Nothobranchius furzeri: one gene and its partners. The protein of the gene in region 1 interacts with the protein of each later gene in a biochemical or structural test. Links are inferred from orthologs where the notes say so. Each region holds a gene or a part of one and is shown in the gene's direction. Other genes may lie near its edges.

The links. The genes of interacting proteins can lie anywhere in the genome.
Region 2: of the proteins of nup62l (region 1) and ogt.1, one has a biochemical effect on the other in vitro, tested with the Homo sapiens proteins (2 studies listed by BioGRID). The link is inferred for Nothobranchius furzeri from reciprocal best matches to the Homo sapiens genes NUP62 and OGT.
Region 3: the proteins of nup62l (region 1) and nutf2 form a complex in vitro, tested with the Homo sapiens proteins (3 studies listed by BioGRID). The link is inferred for Nothobranchius furzeri from reciprocal best matches to the Homo sapiens genes NUP62 and NUTF2.

What each region holds. Positions count from the first base shown.
Region 1 is NC_091754.1:20,876,388-20,880,858, reverse strand, and holds nup62l (nucleoporin 62 like), read left to right. Parts: upstream 1-1,657; 5' UTR 1,658-1,848; coding exon 1,849-3,291; intron 3,292-3,371; coding exon 3,372-3,530; 3' UTR 3,531-3,709; downstream 3,710-4,471. Other genes in the region: pdk1 (pyruvate dehydrogenase (acetyl-transferring) kinase isozyme 1, mitochondrial), read right to left, coding at 751-859. UniProt on the Homo sapiens protein: Essential component of the nuclear pore complex. The N-terminal is probably involved in nucleocytoplasmic transport.
Region 2 is NC_091741.1:100,471,981-100,476,719, forward strand, and holds the start of ogt.1 (UDP-N-acetylglucosamine--peptide N-acetylglucosaminyltransferase 110 kDa subunit), read left to right. Parts: upstream 1-1,432; 5' UTR 1,433-1,648; coding exon 1,649-1,685; intron 1,686-3,481; coding exon 3,482-3,662; intron 3,663-4,070; coding exon 4,071-4,314; intron 4,315-4,386; coding exon 4,387-4,455; intron 4,456-4,739. UniProt on the Homo sapiens protein: Catalyzes the transfer of a single N-acetylglucosamine from UDP-GlcNAc to a serine or threonine residue in cytoplasmic and nuclear proteins resulting in their modification with a beta-linked N-acetylglucosamine (O-GlcNAc).
Region 3 is NC_091744.1:83,049,302-83,053,941, forward strand, and holds the start of nutf2 (nuclear transport factor 2), read left to right. Parts: upstream 1-1,333; 5' UTR 1,334-1,424; intron 1,425-1,718; exon of another isoform or gene 1,719-1,844; intron 1,845-2,467; 5' UTR 2,468-2,490; coding exon 2,491-2,589; intron 2,590-2,937; coding exon 2,938-3,009; intron 3,010-4,640. UniProt on the Homo sapiens protein: Mediates the import of GDP-bound RAN from the cytoplasm into the nucleus which is essential for the function of RAN in cargo receptor-mediated nucleocytoplasmic transport.

The sequences.
Region 1 (4,471 bases):
ACTTGTCCAGATGTAGGCTAACATCAGATTTTAACCATAGGCCCTATCAAATAAAAATGTTTTAAGCCTAGTCTTAAAAGTAGACAAGGTGTCTGCCTCACGGACTAAAGCTGGGAGCTGGTTCCACAGGAGAGGAGCCTGATAACTAAAAGATCTGCCTCCTATCCTAATTTTAGATATTCTGGGAACCACCAGTAAAGAAGGCACCTCCCGTGTATTCTTGCTTAGCTAGCTAAACAGCTAACAAACGAAGAACAGACACCTCGGTAGCACATGATGATTGGAACACGCCTTGGCGGTACCTGATTACGTATCTCCTAGGCAACCGGGGCAGGACCAAGACATCAAGAAACACCGAAGAGTTTGAGATAAAACTGGGTGTTAATTGGCAAGTATCTAGCAATATAATATGTTGCTATACAGGAGAGACGATACGATATATTGAGATACTAAAAGGCTGACTATTTTTGCAATTTTTAAGTGAATTTAACTGGGAAAACTCAGACAATTCCAGTGTTTTCGCAAGATATCGGTCTGTCAGACTGAAGGAGGAAGAAACTGCTGCCACCTAGCTGTCAGTGTTTGATCTGCACCACACAAAAGAAATACAAGAAATGTTGGCATGTAAATTCTCAATAATAGATACTCTGCTTTTAAATATCGATTCTGTATCATAAACCGAAATGTTGTGATATTTCAGTGCATTGAATTATTTTTACATCCCTAGAGTGTTATATGAATACATCTCACCAAAATCCAGAAACTGCTTCATTGAAAGAGGGGAAGGAGAAAATCTGGAGTAATAATCGATATCCTTCCCTACTGACACGCTGTTCCTCAGAAACCTCAGAAGCCTCATGTTGACCGGGTTTACTAGTTATTCGGAGGAAGCAGGTGGCTTCCGAGCCACACTTAGTGTTATTTAACGACACTAGCTCGTTGAGCAAACCCAGCAGCTCGCAAACACGCTGTTAAATTTATTATTGTTCAGTTACGTTGCTAATTGATGCAGGTTCAGCATCCATAACTACGGCCGCGCTGCAATGTTTGTGTATCGTCCGGTGTGTACTTCAAGTGATCGCTGCTAAATCCACCGAAGCAGAAAAGTCAACAAGCTAATTCAAAGAGTTACTACAAAGTTCAAGAGGATTCATCGTTGTTGCCTGGCGTATACCGACACGAAGTTCTGTTGAAAGGCTGTATTTAAAATTATTGTCAATATTGACGGTAAATTGCGAAAATAAAGACGTATAAATGCACGATAATGTCCTAAATAATGTCTTTTATTCACGTGTGTATGAAAGAAGAAGAGTTGATAGTGCTCGTTATTCTGTAACTATCTTGCCTTTGCATACTCTTTGTAAAGGCCAAACTATATATTTTTCCGAATGTTTGTCTATCAGGCAGTCAAATGAGCCTATCATGTACCTCAAATCTAATCATAACTCTGATTGGATAAAACAGTTGCCAAATAAATTAATAGGCGGAATTATGTCCCTGCAGACAAAATTCAGGGCATACGAGAATGCCGCGTCTCGGGTGTCGTCACTTCCTTTAGGTGGCCAGATAATTGCCTGTTAAAGGAAATGTCGGTTCACAGGCCCACGTTTTTAGCAATGTGTTATTGATTTTGGCTCTATATTCCTCGGAAGGTAACGTTGATTAGCGTGTGATTTCATTCATTTCCTGCGTATCTGTGCAAAGTTACTTAAATAGACGCAGTGGGGATTTTAGGAACTTCAGTCGGAGGAGTTGGTCATAGCGACCCGCCAAAAGCCACAAGATTCGGCAAGGAAGTGGCCGTTTTAAACGACACGTAACGGCTGTGTTTAACTTCTTGTGAGGATAATGAGTGGCGGATTCAACTTCGGACAGAATGCAGGGTTCGCCTTTGGAGCGCAGAAGACCACTGCCGCTGCCCCCAACGCGGGTTTTACATTAACCAGCTCAGCAGCTCCGGGAGGGGGGTTCGCCTTTGGAAATGCCAACCAGACCAACCCCACCGCCTCTTTCAGCTTTGGCACCCCAGCCAAGAGTTCCGCAGGCGGCACGGGGTTGTCTTTTAGCACGCCTACTGCCTCGTTTGCTCTTGCTACCCCTCAGACAACACCGGCAGCAACAGGGTTGAGTCTGGGCTCTGCAGCAACTCCGGCTGCCGGGTCAGGGTTCACCTTAGGCAGCCTGCTAACCTCGCAGCCCCCAGCTGCTGCACCAGCAGTAGCAACAGTGGCACCAAGCGGGGGAGGATTCACCTTCGGTGCTCCCACACAAGTCCAGCCTCAGTCAGTGGTAGCACCCACAGCCACGACAGCAGCAAGTGGCATGTCCATTGGAGGGTTCAGTTTTGGTGCTCCCAAAGTCCAGGTGACCTCAGCTGCAGCCCCCACTGCTGCCACAGGAGCGGGATTCAGCTTTGGAACCCCTGCAACCACCGCCTCTGCAGCTCCAACCACCCAGGGTGGAGGTTTTAACTTTGGGATTAAACCTTCATCAACCCCAGCCCCTACAGCAACCACCCAGGTGGCTCCGACTCCAGGCCCTACTCTGTTTGCGACACCCATAACCACCACCGCCGCCACTACAGCAGCAGCTCCAGGATTCATGTTTGGTGCAGCTCCAATTTCGGCTCCACTTTCATCGGTGAGCACTGCAACCACCACAGCAGCTGGAGGGGGCTTATCCTTCCCACTCAAACCTCTGAGTTCAGCAACCACCACCTCTGCTCCGGCCTCCATCCTAACTGCAGCCGCCACCACAGGCACAGCTACGGGCTTCATACTGGGACTCAAAACTACATCCACCACAAGCACAACCACAACAGCCACAACAATCGGCACCACCACCACCACTGCTCCTCCTGTGATGACCTATGCCCAGCTGGAGAGCCTCATAAACAAGTGGAGTCTTGAGCTGGAGGACCAAGAAAGACATTTCTTACAGCAAGCGACTCAGGTGAATGCCTGGGACCGCATGCTGGTGGAGAACGGAGAGAAGATCACATCCCTGCACAAGGAGCTGGAGAAGGTGAAGCTGGACCAGAGGAGGCTGAACCAGGAGCTGGACTTCATCCTGTCCCAGCAGAAGGAGCTGGAGGACCTGCTGTGTCCGCTGGAGGAGTCCGTGAAGGAGCAGAGCGGAACCATCTACATGCAGAATGCCGATGAGGAGCGTGAGAGAACATACAAGCTCGCTGAGAACGTAGACGCACAGCTGAAGAGGATGTCTCAGGACCTGAAGGAGATAATTGAGCACCTGAACACATCCAGCGGCCCAGCTGACTCCAGTGACCCAGTAAGATCAGATCTAAGTCATCCTTAAACCTGTCATTATGATGTTTGCCTTTTTCATTCATCTCTTTCTCTCTGTTTTAGCTCCAGCAGATTTGTAAAATTCTCAACGCCCACATGGATTCGCTGCAGTGGATCGACCAGAACTCGGTTCTCCTGCAGAGAAGAGTGGAAGAAGTGTCTAAACTCTGCGACACCCAACGCAAGGAGCAGGAGAAGAGCTTTCGTTTAACCTTTGACTGATCTGTTGATGAGTTTAACTCTGCATAAACATTATGCTCTTTTGTTTGGATTTACTCATTTCACTTTCTGTTTTGGTTTTATTAAGATAAATATTTTCTCAATAGTTCTTTATAAAGTTAATTGATCATATTAAATGTTCTGGGTAGTGTGATTAAATAAAACAATTGCAGTGGATCTCATTCAGCCTGATGTGGTGTGTCATGACTCTAATTCTCACATCTAATCTGAAACATGAAAGATCTACCAGACTTTTTGAGTTGAAATAATCTAAATTACTTAATCATTTTAGAGCTTTAACTGTAATTTGTCTCAGTAATGATCTACAAGCTGCTTAATTCTACCTGAGCCCTAGATTAGATGTAAAAACACAAGGAGGCGGGTGCAAGAAATGATAAATGACCCGCACTTGTATAGCACCTCTCAGAGTAAGGACTCCAAAGCACTTTACACTACAGTGTATCATTCATCCATTCACACACTGATGGTGATGAGCTACGATGTAGCCACAGCTGCCCTGGGGCGCACTGACAAGCAGAAGCATTGGTTTTCTTAACAGCTCCAGATAAGGTAGTAGAACATGTTGGCCAACCTCACAGGTATGTTGCAAAACACTTTGAGATTTTCATTCTAATACAATGTTAAAAAATACAATTCACCATTTCTACAGTAAAAAATTCCCAGGAAATTAAACAGCCATGTCACAAATATAAAAATGGACTACAGTTTGTCCTAATTTGCAGAATCTGCTAAAAATAAGAGCTTCATTGTCATCCGCTGCTTCCCACCCAAAGCATCGAGATTGATTGTTCCATCATAGGCTGGTAATGTCTGCAGAATCCACGAATGGGGAAACATGAAAACAGTTATCCGTGCTCTGTAAACAATAAAAAATGTTAAGTCTTGCAGGGAATTTACACTTGTTATGCTTTTTTTATTTTTTA
Region 2 (4,739 bases), on another chromosome or scaffold:
TTCCAGATGAGGGAGCTGGGCTGATGGACATCTCCCACTTGAGTTCATGGGTGATGATGGTCCCAAGGAAGCAAAAGGAGTCCATGACTGGGTAGGGGGTGTCTGGCAATCTCCTGAAGAGTAGAATCATCTATACATCTGCAATAATATCAGCTCAAATATAAGCTGCTTTGATAATTAAACAATGCAAATAATGGACACCGCTGATTTGTGTTGGGTAAATGGGGTCAACCACAGCTGATTCTAGACCGTTTTTTGAGCTTGCTGCTGTTTTCGTGTGTCTGTTCGTTGTATTTAGAGTGTTTTGTCTTGCATGTTTCATGAATATTTTGTTCACTGGAAGCAATGACGTAAAATCTGATAGCGGTAAAGGAGAAAAATGGCCTTTTTTGGAATGATTCAGAGTGTGAACATTAGTGGACAAAGAGCTCCCATCCAAGACATACAGAGTTTACAGGTTTCTTTAAACCACCTTTGCCACAGAAAAGAATCTCCTGGGCAAGAACTGAGATCAAAAAGTGGTCAGATCTTTTAATGGTCTTTCAAGCAAGAGCTTTAAACACTTAAAACAATTGCTTCTCTCTAAACCTCCTCCTGTCTTTAGACGTTAAAAATGTTTACATATTGAAGATTTTGCCCACAAGCTCTAATGGAAGTGTACGTCGTGTATTGACAGCACTGCTGTCACAGCAGGCCATATTGTGTGTTTTCTTGCCAACAAAGATCCTCCTATAGACTTTCTCCATCCATGTTGGCACCTACAGGCCTGCCGGATGATAGCTAATGTGATTTCATTTAATTTGTGTAAACGAGTGTCAAATGGGTGCTTCATGGACTTCTTACTGATGTATGGAGTTTCGAATTGTTAGGAAAAGGTGATTTCTGTTTGGTTACCCAAAAACAATTGAGTTCTACTTGAATGACTTCTTTGGTGTGGAAAATGTGTTGATCCAATGAAAAAGGGTTAACACATTAGCATGAGATGTCTTCTGCTCTGCTGAGATGTGATGATGAACACCGCGTGGATCCCGGTTTCATTAAGCAAACAGTGAAAAATAAATTAGCAGCCTGAACGCCATGTTCTAGTCGTGCACCGGCTCAGCTCACAGCATTCGTCCTTTGTCTCACTGCGCAGTGAGATCCCTCCGCTAGATAGTATTGATACCCACATTTGTATTGCTAAATGTATGGCACATAGTTGAAATTTTGGGGTTTCCGCACTATTTCGTAATGAAATACGCATATTAAAACTGTACGCATATTTAATCAAAAAACTGCCAGAGGGACCTAGTTTCTCTCTCATGAAAAACGAGTTCCCCTCATTTCGCCATTTCATGTTCCGCTGCTTTGTTGGGAGCAGGAAGACAGCCAGGTAGACTCTTACAGTGAACAATAGAATTTCTGTGATATTTAGTTATAGCAACAGCGTGATTTGACCGGTTAGTTAATCTTCTAATAAACAAAAAACACTGCGAAGGTGTTTTAATCGGATTTTTAGAAAGCTAAGTAAGCTAGCATTGCTAACTCGACGGGCAGCGGGCTAACTTTCAAGCACCGAGAATACGAGACAGAACCGTTTTTTTCCTGGGGCTGTTATTTTTCAGAAGACACGTTGACGACCACCGCACAAGACACGAAGACCGAGGAGATGGCGAGCTCAGTTGGAAATGTGGCCGACAGCACAGGTAGGCTGCTTATATTGCTAACTAATGGAGCTAGCTTGTAAAATAGCATTTCCTGCTAACGCGAGGAAGCGATTATTAACTGTAAAAATGATCATAATTAAAAATGAACATGGTTACACATGTTATACGAAGGCTTTAGGCCTACACTAAGTAACAGCTGTTTGTATAGGAAAGTGTCGCACAATTAAACCAAATGCGCCGGGTCTGCGCGTGTCATTGCCCCTTAACGTGGTGCTAAACTGCATATTACACGGATTACGTGTACATTTATTTTATTTTGATAGCGTGTAAATAGGATACTGCGATGAGGTTGGGGTACTGTGTTTTATATTAGCGTCAAGTTATTTTTTAAAGAAACCGATCCGGCATGGCGGAGAGTCCTGCTGACCCAGTCCGTGCAGACCGCACCGATGCCGCAGAGAAAGCTGAGGTTTCCTCCCAAAACTGCATTCCAGCTGAGTAATAATGAGTGGGACGTTGTATGAAATAAATCAGTCCTTTTCTCACGTTTAGGAGCGTGGTTACATAACTGTGAAGGGAAGGAAACTAAACCATGACGATTTCTGCTGCTGGTATTCTGGCTATAATACAATTAACTTTTTATGTATATTGGTCTCCATGGGGTTTTTATTTAGGTGATGTGGAATTGTAAGATCTGATTGCAGTGTAAATTAGATATGCGTTTGGACAACTGAAAAAAAGTATTTCTTTATTAAACCACCTTTGCCACAGGAAATAATCTCCAGGGCAAGAACTGTGAGAACAAAAAGTATGGTCTTTGAAGCAAAACTAAATAGTTATTAAATACGTGTGTTAGTTGGTTTCATGTAAAGTTTTATCAGCTGACTGCTACTGGCAAGTTCTAACATGATTGTTTTTGACCAGCATCATTTAAATTAGAGACATATTCAGATGTAATTTAAAAAAACATGTTAAAAGTCTGGCTTGGCCAGATCAGATGAGCAGTGTTGAAATGTCTTTGTAAATACATTTGGCCACACCTTTCCTTAGAAACCTGAGTTACAACAATCTTTCGTTTGATTTCTGGACTCTAAAGGCATTGATCTAAGTTTGTTTGGGTGGAGGAACTTTTCCAAAAATGATCTCTGTCTTTTTAAAATGTAATCATGTGATTTTCCTCCACATGTTCTCTGCCACTCCCTATTTCCTCTAAGCAAATATGGTTAATAATGGTAATGCATATGTGATGAAGATCCTTTGTAATGCCTGGACTCCAGAATGCCAACAGGATTCTAGAACATCTCCCTCTGTGTCATTCCCTTACCCGCTTGTTTATTCATCTTATCAATTTTCTTTTTTGTTCTGTGAGTGATAAAATATATTTGCATTAATATTGGATTGTTATTTTTGTGCTTAATAATCTCTAAGCACAATAAAACAGATTAAAATGAAATTATTTGATTAATTCAACACTAAATTGATTCAGTCAGCATTACGTTTTATTTTGCCGACAGTAATTTTAAAATAAAAGACAAAGTTTCATAAAGGAGCAGTTCATTACAGCTATTCAACTCACAAATCACTCTTAAGATTTGAATTATAATGTTATCGAATACAACAATGTTTTAAAAATGATGGTTTCCAAACATTTTCTATTATATCACCTTTGATTTTGTGACCCTTTGATTTTGTTTGTTGCTCCATTTTCTGTTGAGTTAAAATTGTTCTTTATTGAAAGCTTTGCCATCTGTTTGTTTTTCATTTGTCTTTCATTTATTCCATCACCTCTAACATGTCGTTTTCCCCCCCCTCCTTGGCTCATGTTGGTGCTCCAGAACCAACAAAACGTATGCTTTCCTTCCAAGGGTTGGCGGAGCTGGCGCACCGCGAGTACCAGTCAGGGGATTTTGAGGCAGCTGAGCGTCACTGCATGCAGCTGTGGAGGCAGGAGCCTGATAACACAGGCGTGCTTTTGCTTCTGTCTTCCATTCACTTCCAGTGTCGAAGACTTGACAGGTGAGGTGTAATGGGAAAGGCTTTAAGCAGAATGTGGTGTGGAGATGGCAGAACTGTATTGGGCTTCTGGGTTTGAGGTCGCACTCATCTGAGCTGGGAGATCAAGTTAAACATCTGAACTCTGTGGGAAATTTAGTTTAATGAGGTCCCCCCCCCCAAAGTCCAACATGGCTTTGTTCTTCGGGTGCTGTGGTTTAAGTGTTGCTTCATCCTTAATTCCCAAACGGAGGGTTAAACTATAAATTGGAAGTTTTAAGTTTGATGTTTTGTTATAAATGTAATAATATTGCACTTATTCTCTTCCTTCAACCTTTCTACACGTTTCTGTCGCCTCTAGCAGTAAATGATAGTAACTGTTGCCTCTGGGCTCCTGGGTTTTTACGGTTTGCTCCTGTTTCTGCCCTGCAGGTCCGCTCACTTCAGCACCTTGGCCATCAAGCAGAACCCAATGCTTGCTGAGGCCTACTCCAATCTGGGGAATGTGTACAAGGAGCGCGGTCAGTTGCAGGAGGCCATCGAGCATTACCGCCACGCTCTGAGGCTGAAGCCAGACTTTATTGATGGATACATAAACCTGGCAGCAGCACTGGTGGCCGCGGGGGACATGGAGGGAGCAGTACAGGCTTATGTGTCTGCTTTACAGTACAACCCGGTAAATGATTGTTGACAGAGTAGTTCTGTGGGATAATAAGTAGAAGGTAAATGATTTTTTCTTTTGTTCCAGGATCTCTATTGTGTGCGGAGTGACTTGGGTAATTTGCTCAAAGCTCTTGGGCGTTTGGAGGAGGCCAAGGTATGTTACCATAGATGTGGTGTTTGCTTTTGCTTAGACTCCCTTTTTTACACCCTATGTCACTTACTTGTTTTTGTATGTTTTTATTTCCCACTAAGGTCGTAGATCTTTTTCATTTTTCTTTCTTTTTAAATTTTTACATTTACGACACACCCAGTTTCTTAAGGTCAATCCTTTTAGATGAGTCAAGGACAGGAAGTAGCATCTCATCACTTCTCTTGAGAGGCCACAAGCTTCTCAAGTTCCACACAGAAAAGTCTTTTGGAAAAATTTGGACTGGAATC
Region 3 (4,640 bases), on another chromosome or scaffold:
ATGATAAATATGACTTAGCTATCTCATAATTATGAGATACTAAGTCATAATAATGATAAATGACCCGCACTTGTATAGCGCTTCTCAGAGTAAGGACTTCAAAGCGCTTTACACTACAGTGTATCATTCATCCATTCAGACGCACATTCATACACTGGTGGTGATGAGCTACGATGTAGCCACAGCTGCCCTGGGGCGCACTGACAGAGGCGAGGCTGCCGAGCACAGGCGCCACCGGACCCTCCGACCACCACCAGCAGGCAACGTGGGTTATGTGTCTTGCCCAAGGACACAACAGCAGAATTCTCTGTCCGGAGCCGGGATCAAACCGGCAACCTTCCGATTACTGGACAACCAGTAATGACAGTTAACTCGTAATTATGAGATACTAAGTCATCATAATGAGATAGTATCTCATAATAATGAGATAGTATTGCAAGATAGTATCTCATTATTATGAGATAGCTAAGTCATGATTACGAGATAATAATTTTTTTTCTGAGTGGCGGGTATGGGCTTCCATACAATCTGCAGCTTCATCCTCAGCTAAATTTTCCTGTGACAGCAGATGTTTCAGTGACACTTCCATCTAAAGACACAATCGTCCTCTAGATCAAAGTGGAGTCAATATCACTGTCGTCTGAAGCTAATGATGTCTGAGCTTCAATTCATCCCAAACATTCCTGTGAAGCCAACAGAACTCAAATGTCATCATCAGAAGTAAGGAAATATCATCGTCAGTATTGCCTGAAGCGGGTGATGTTTCCGCTCTATCCTCACCGAATCCATCCAGTGAAAATAACGAATTTGTTTGTTAGTTCCAACTTTCTTTTAAGCGCAATAAATCCTGGGGCTCACTCTCAGCACAAAGCAGCAACTCCAGAACATTGTATTCCTCTCCAAACAAATCTAACAAATCATCACCCTTCTCTGAAGCTAGCACCCCAGCATCATCAGAAACAAAAGTCCCATGTGATGTCAGAAACATGTTGACACTTCCATCTAAAGAAAAACAGGTGAAAGTTGTGTCCTCTTGATCAAACAGATGTATACCACCTTGGTTGTCATCAGAAACTAGTGATGGGCAAAATGGGAGGGGCGCAGACGTGCTCGTGCAGAACGCAGTGGTAGGAAGGTGATTTTGGGGTTGATGACGTCAAAGTGAAGCAACTGTGTAACTCAATCTTCTGTTCCACCAAATATCAGAATGGAAATTAATAAAAAACATTAGAAAAACATAAAAACACTAATAGAAAAAATAACAAAAATGTGGCGGTTTTTTTCATAAACATCAACTATGCATGTCTGTGATAAAGACTACATTCTCCATAATGCTTTGCGCACACGTCTCTGGTTACGTGCTGTCGCAGCGAAGGAGACATTGCACTGTTCTGTCGTGCAGCCGGCCTCGGCGTTAGTGAGAGGTAAGTTTGTGGTACTTGTTTGAAACGAGTCTTGCTACAAATTAGTGAAACAAAGCTTAAGTGAAAACAAAAGTCAGTCGTTTCGTCAGACACATAAACAACTAACGACAGGATCGACAGTTTTACTGGCAGCTCCTCTCAGTTTAGGAAGGCTAGTGTCGGGCACGCCTATGTGAGGGGTTAGCTGCTCCGGGGGCTCCAGGGCTGTTTGCGCGGGCCCGCATGAGGCGTCGGTATTCACAGGGGTTGGGTATTTTTAGCATGATCCTGCTGCGAACACCAGCCGGTCACTCAACACCTGGAAAATACATGTTCCCGAAGTCTAGCATTGGCTGGAAGCTACAAGGTTTGGGCCACCAACAAGTCAGCTCACAAGCTAGCAGCGGCGAGCAGATCTTGTACCGACACCGGCTGAAAGAGGTTTACTGTCTTATTTGCCTCATTTCCACGTTCCTACTCTTGTGTTAACCTTAGTTTCCTCTGCACTGGTATACTCATGTCCCGTCGGTAACCGCAATAGTTAGTAATGCTAACGTTTAGCGCGCCCGCTCACTGCTCCAGTGTCAACCATGTCGTTATGGGAGTCACGTGACCTGTTATGTCGGCGGAAACCGGGAGTAGTATTTATTTATAAAATCTCAGTATTATAATATGATTCAGGAACTATTTCACTTACGTGGAGTTGAAAGGGTCAACGTATTTTTTATTATTTATTAATGTTATCACGTTTTAAAAGTGTGTTTTTAGTTTACCACTATAGTGATAAAAACAACTAGTAATAGTAATAATACGAAATGTTAACACGAATTTCAAAACATAACAGGTGTTAATCATATACATTATAATTACTGTAAAAACAAGCAGAGTTCATCATATGTGGGCAGACACATAAGCTGATCTTATACTAAAAATCCCTTATGATCCTTTTACACTGAAGAATATTAACATACATACATTCTGTGGGTTTAAGTTTCAGGCATACAGTTCTGTTGCCGTGTCCTGGTGCGTTCTGTGTGTTGACCCTCTCTGTTTTATCTCTGCAGCGTGTGTTCGAGGGTGATTCAGGATGGCGGAGCAGCCTCTGTGGGAGCAGATAGGATCCAGCTTCGTGCGGCATTACTATCAGATGTTTGATTCTGACAGATCACAGCTTGGATCCATATATGTAGGTGGAACGTGACTTCTTCTCGGCTTCCTCTGATGACCTTTTTCTAGAAGCCTAATTTTGTTCCTGTTTGTTGTAGCTTTTTTTATTTTTAGTGATCTTAGCATTTTTGGAAATGTTCAGGAAAACAAATCTTTTTCTATTCGGGTCTAATAAGTAATATGATATTTACTGACAATATTTCGATGAAATTTGTAAATCTAATTAAATACTGATTGTAGTGTTAGTTTTTCTCCATCATGAGAAATGTGAAGTGGCTTCATGTGTAGATTATTTTCTGCCATTTAATTCTTTTTTTTTTTAATTTAATTATTTATTTATTTGTTTTTTACATCTGTCACTTCACAGATTGATACGTCATGCCTTACGTGGGAAGGACAGCCCTACCAGGGAAAAATAGCAATTGTCGAGAAACTCACTGTGAGTATTGCTGGTTGCTATGCAGAGGTGAAGTGTGGTTAATGTGTGATAGAAACTGTGTTCTGGTGAAGAACATCAGGACATTAAGGATTTTGTTTGGAGCTTGTTAGGATATAATAAAAATACATTATGATGTTTAAATAACAGGTGTTTGAAATCTTGAAGGGAATGACAATGAGCTGAGTCATTTCAGTGCAATAAAAACTGGGCGATATGGCCTCAAATCTATATTGCGATATAATCTGAAGCATGTGCGGTATCGTTATATATTGCGATATATTTTTTTCCTCTGTTTATATATGTCAAAATGACATGCTTTTAAATATCCTCATGTGGCAAATATACCGTAATTTCCAGACTATAGAGCGCACCTCAATAGAAGCCGCACCAACAACAAAAAAGGTTTTCTACACACACATGCTGCACTCAAATACAAGCCGCGGCGCAGCAGCCACATGCAGGTCTCCGGCGCACAGCGCATGTACGGCCATAACATAAGATAGTTAGACAGAAAGACGCTACACGGAGGTTTTTCGTTGTTGTTTTAATTCAACAAAACAAATTTTAAACACGGGTGAACGTGCCTGCAAGTTTATAAAATAAAAACAGCACTGACACATTATTACCGGTAATTTGCATGTTTAGAAGGAAAGAACAGCTGACAGCATTAATAAGCCCCGGATGATTAGAAAATAAAAACTGCACACAAAACATGCCTGGTTAGTAAATAAAACACACTTGAATACCAGAAAAAGTCATTCTCTCATCTTCCTCTTGCGCACTAAAGCCATTAAAGTCCTCTTCTTCAGTGTCGGAGTTGAACAGCCTCAGAAGAGCTTCGTCACATACCTTTTCTGTGGTGATGTCAGTGTCGCTGTCATCATCCCCGGGTGAAGCTGGCTTGGATGAGTTCTTCCCGCTGCCGTCTCCAGCGCCGAACCACGGATTCATTCATGCCAAGCTTACGTGCGGCAGCGCTGTTTCCCTCCTTTACTGCCAGATCGATGGCCTTCAATTTAAATGTGGCAACATATGAACTCATACGTGTAGTTACCATGATGAGGGGGTATGGATTTGAAAATAATTCTCCGTCGTGCCAGCTGCTTGCATGTGCTAAATTAAAAGGAGCACTTTCTTCTATTTCCACTTTTGACTTCCACCTGTTTCACTTTCTGCTAAAGCGCCCCCTGCAGGTGAAGGAAAATCTTCAGTAAAGCCGCACCTCATTATAAGCTGCATGGTTCAAAGTGTGGAGAAAAAGTAGTGGCTTATAGTCCGGAAAATACGGTATGCCACTTGAGGCATATAGGCCTCCTCCCCCGCCCACTCCATGCTTGCAATCACTGCCATTCTGTTGTCTCAATGTCAGCAGGGTGCAAATCTTATTGACGTCATGAGTTATCGCGGTATTTCGATATGTAGGGATGGGTACCTTTGACATTTGAATTGATTCCAGGGCTTCCCTTACATAGGCTTAGCCGTGGCGGCCCGCCACGGCTGAAATCCCACCGCCACGCCTACAAGATCCCAAGTGTTTGTTTTTTTTTGGCGCTGTTTCCCGAAGAAGCAGCAGGAACTACTATGTTGTGGCTTGTGATCACAGCCGGCAGGCAGCAAGGAGGAGCAGGCAG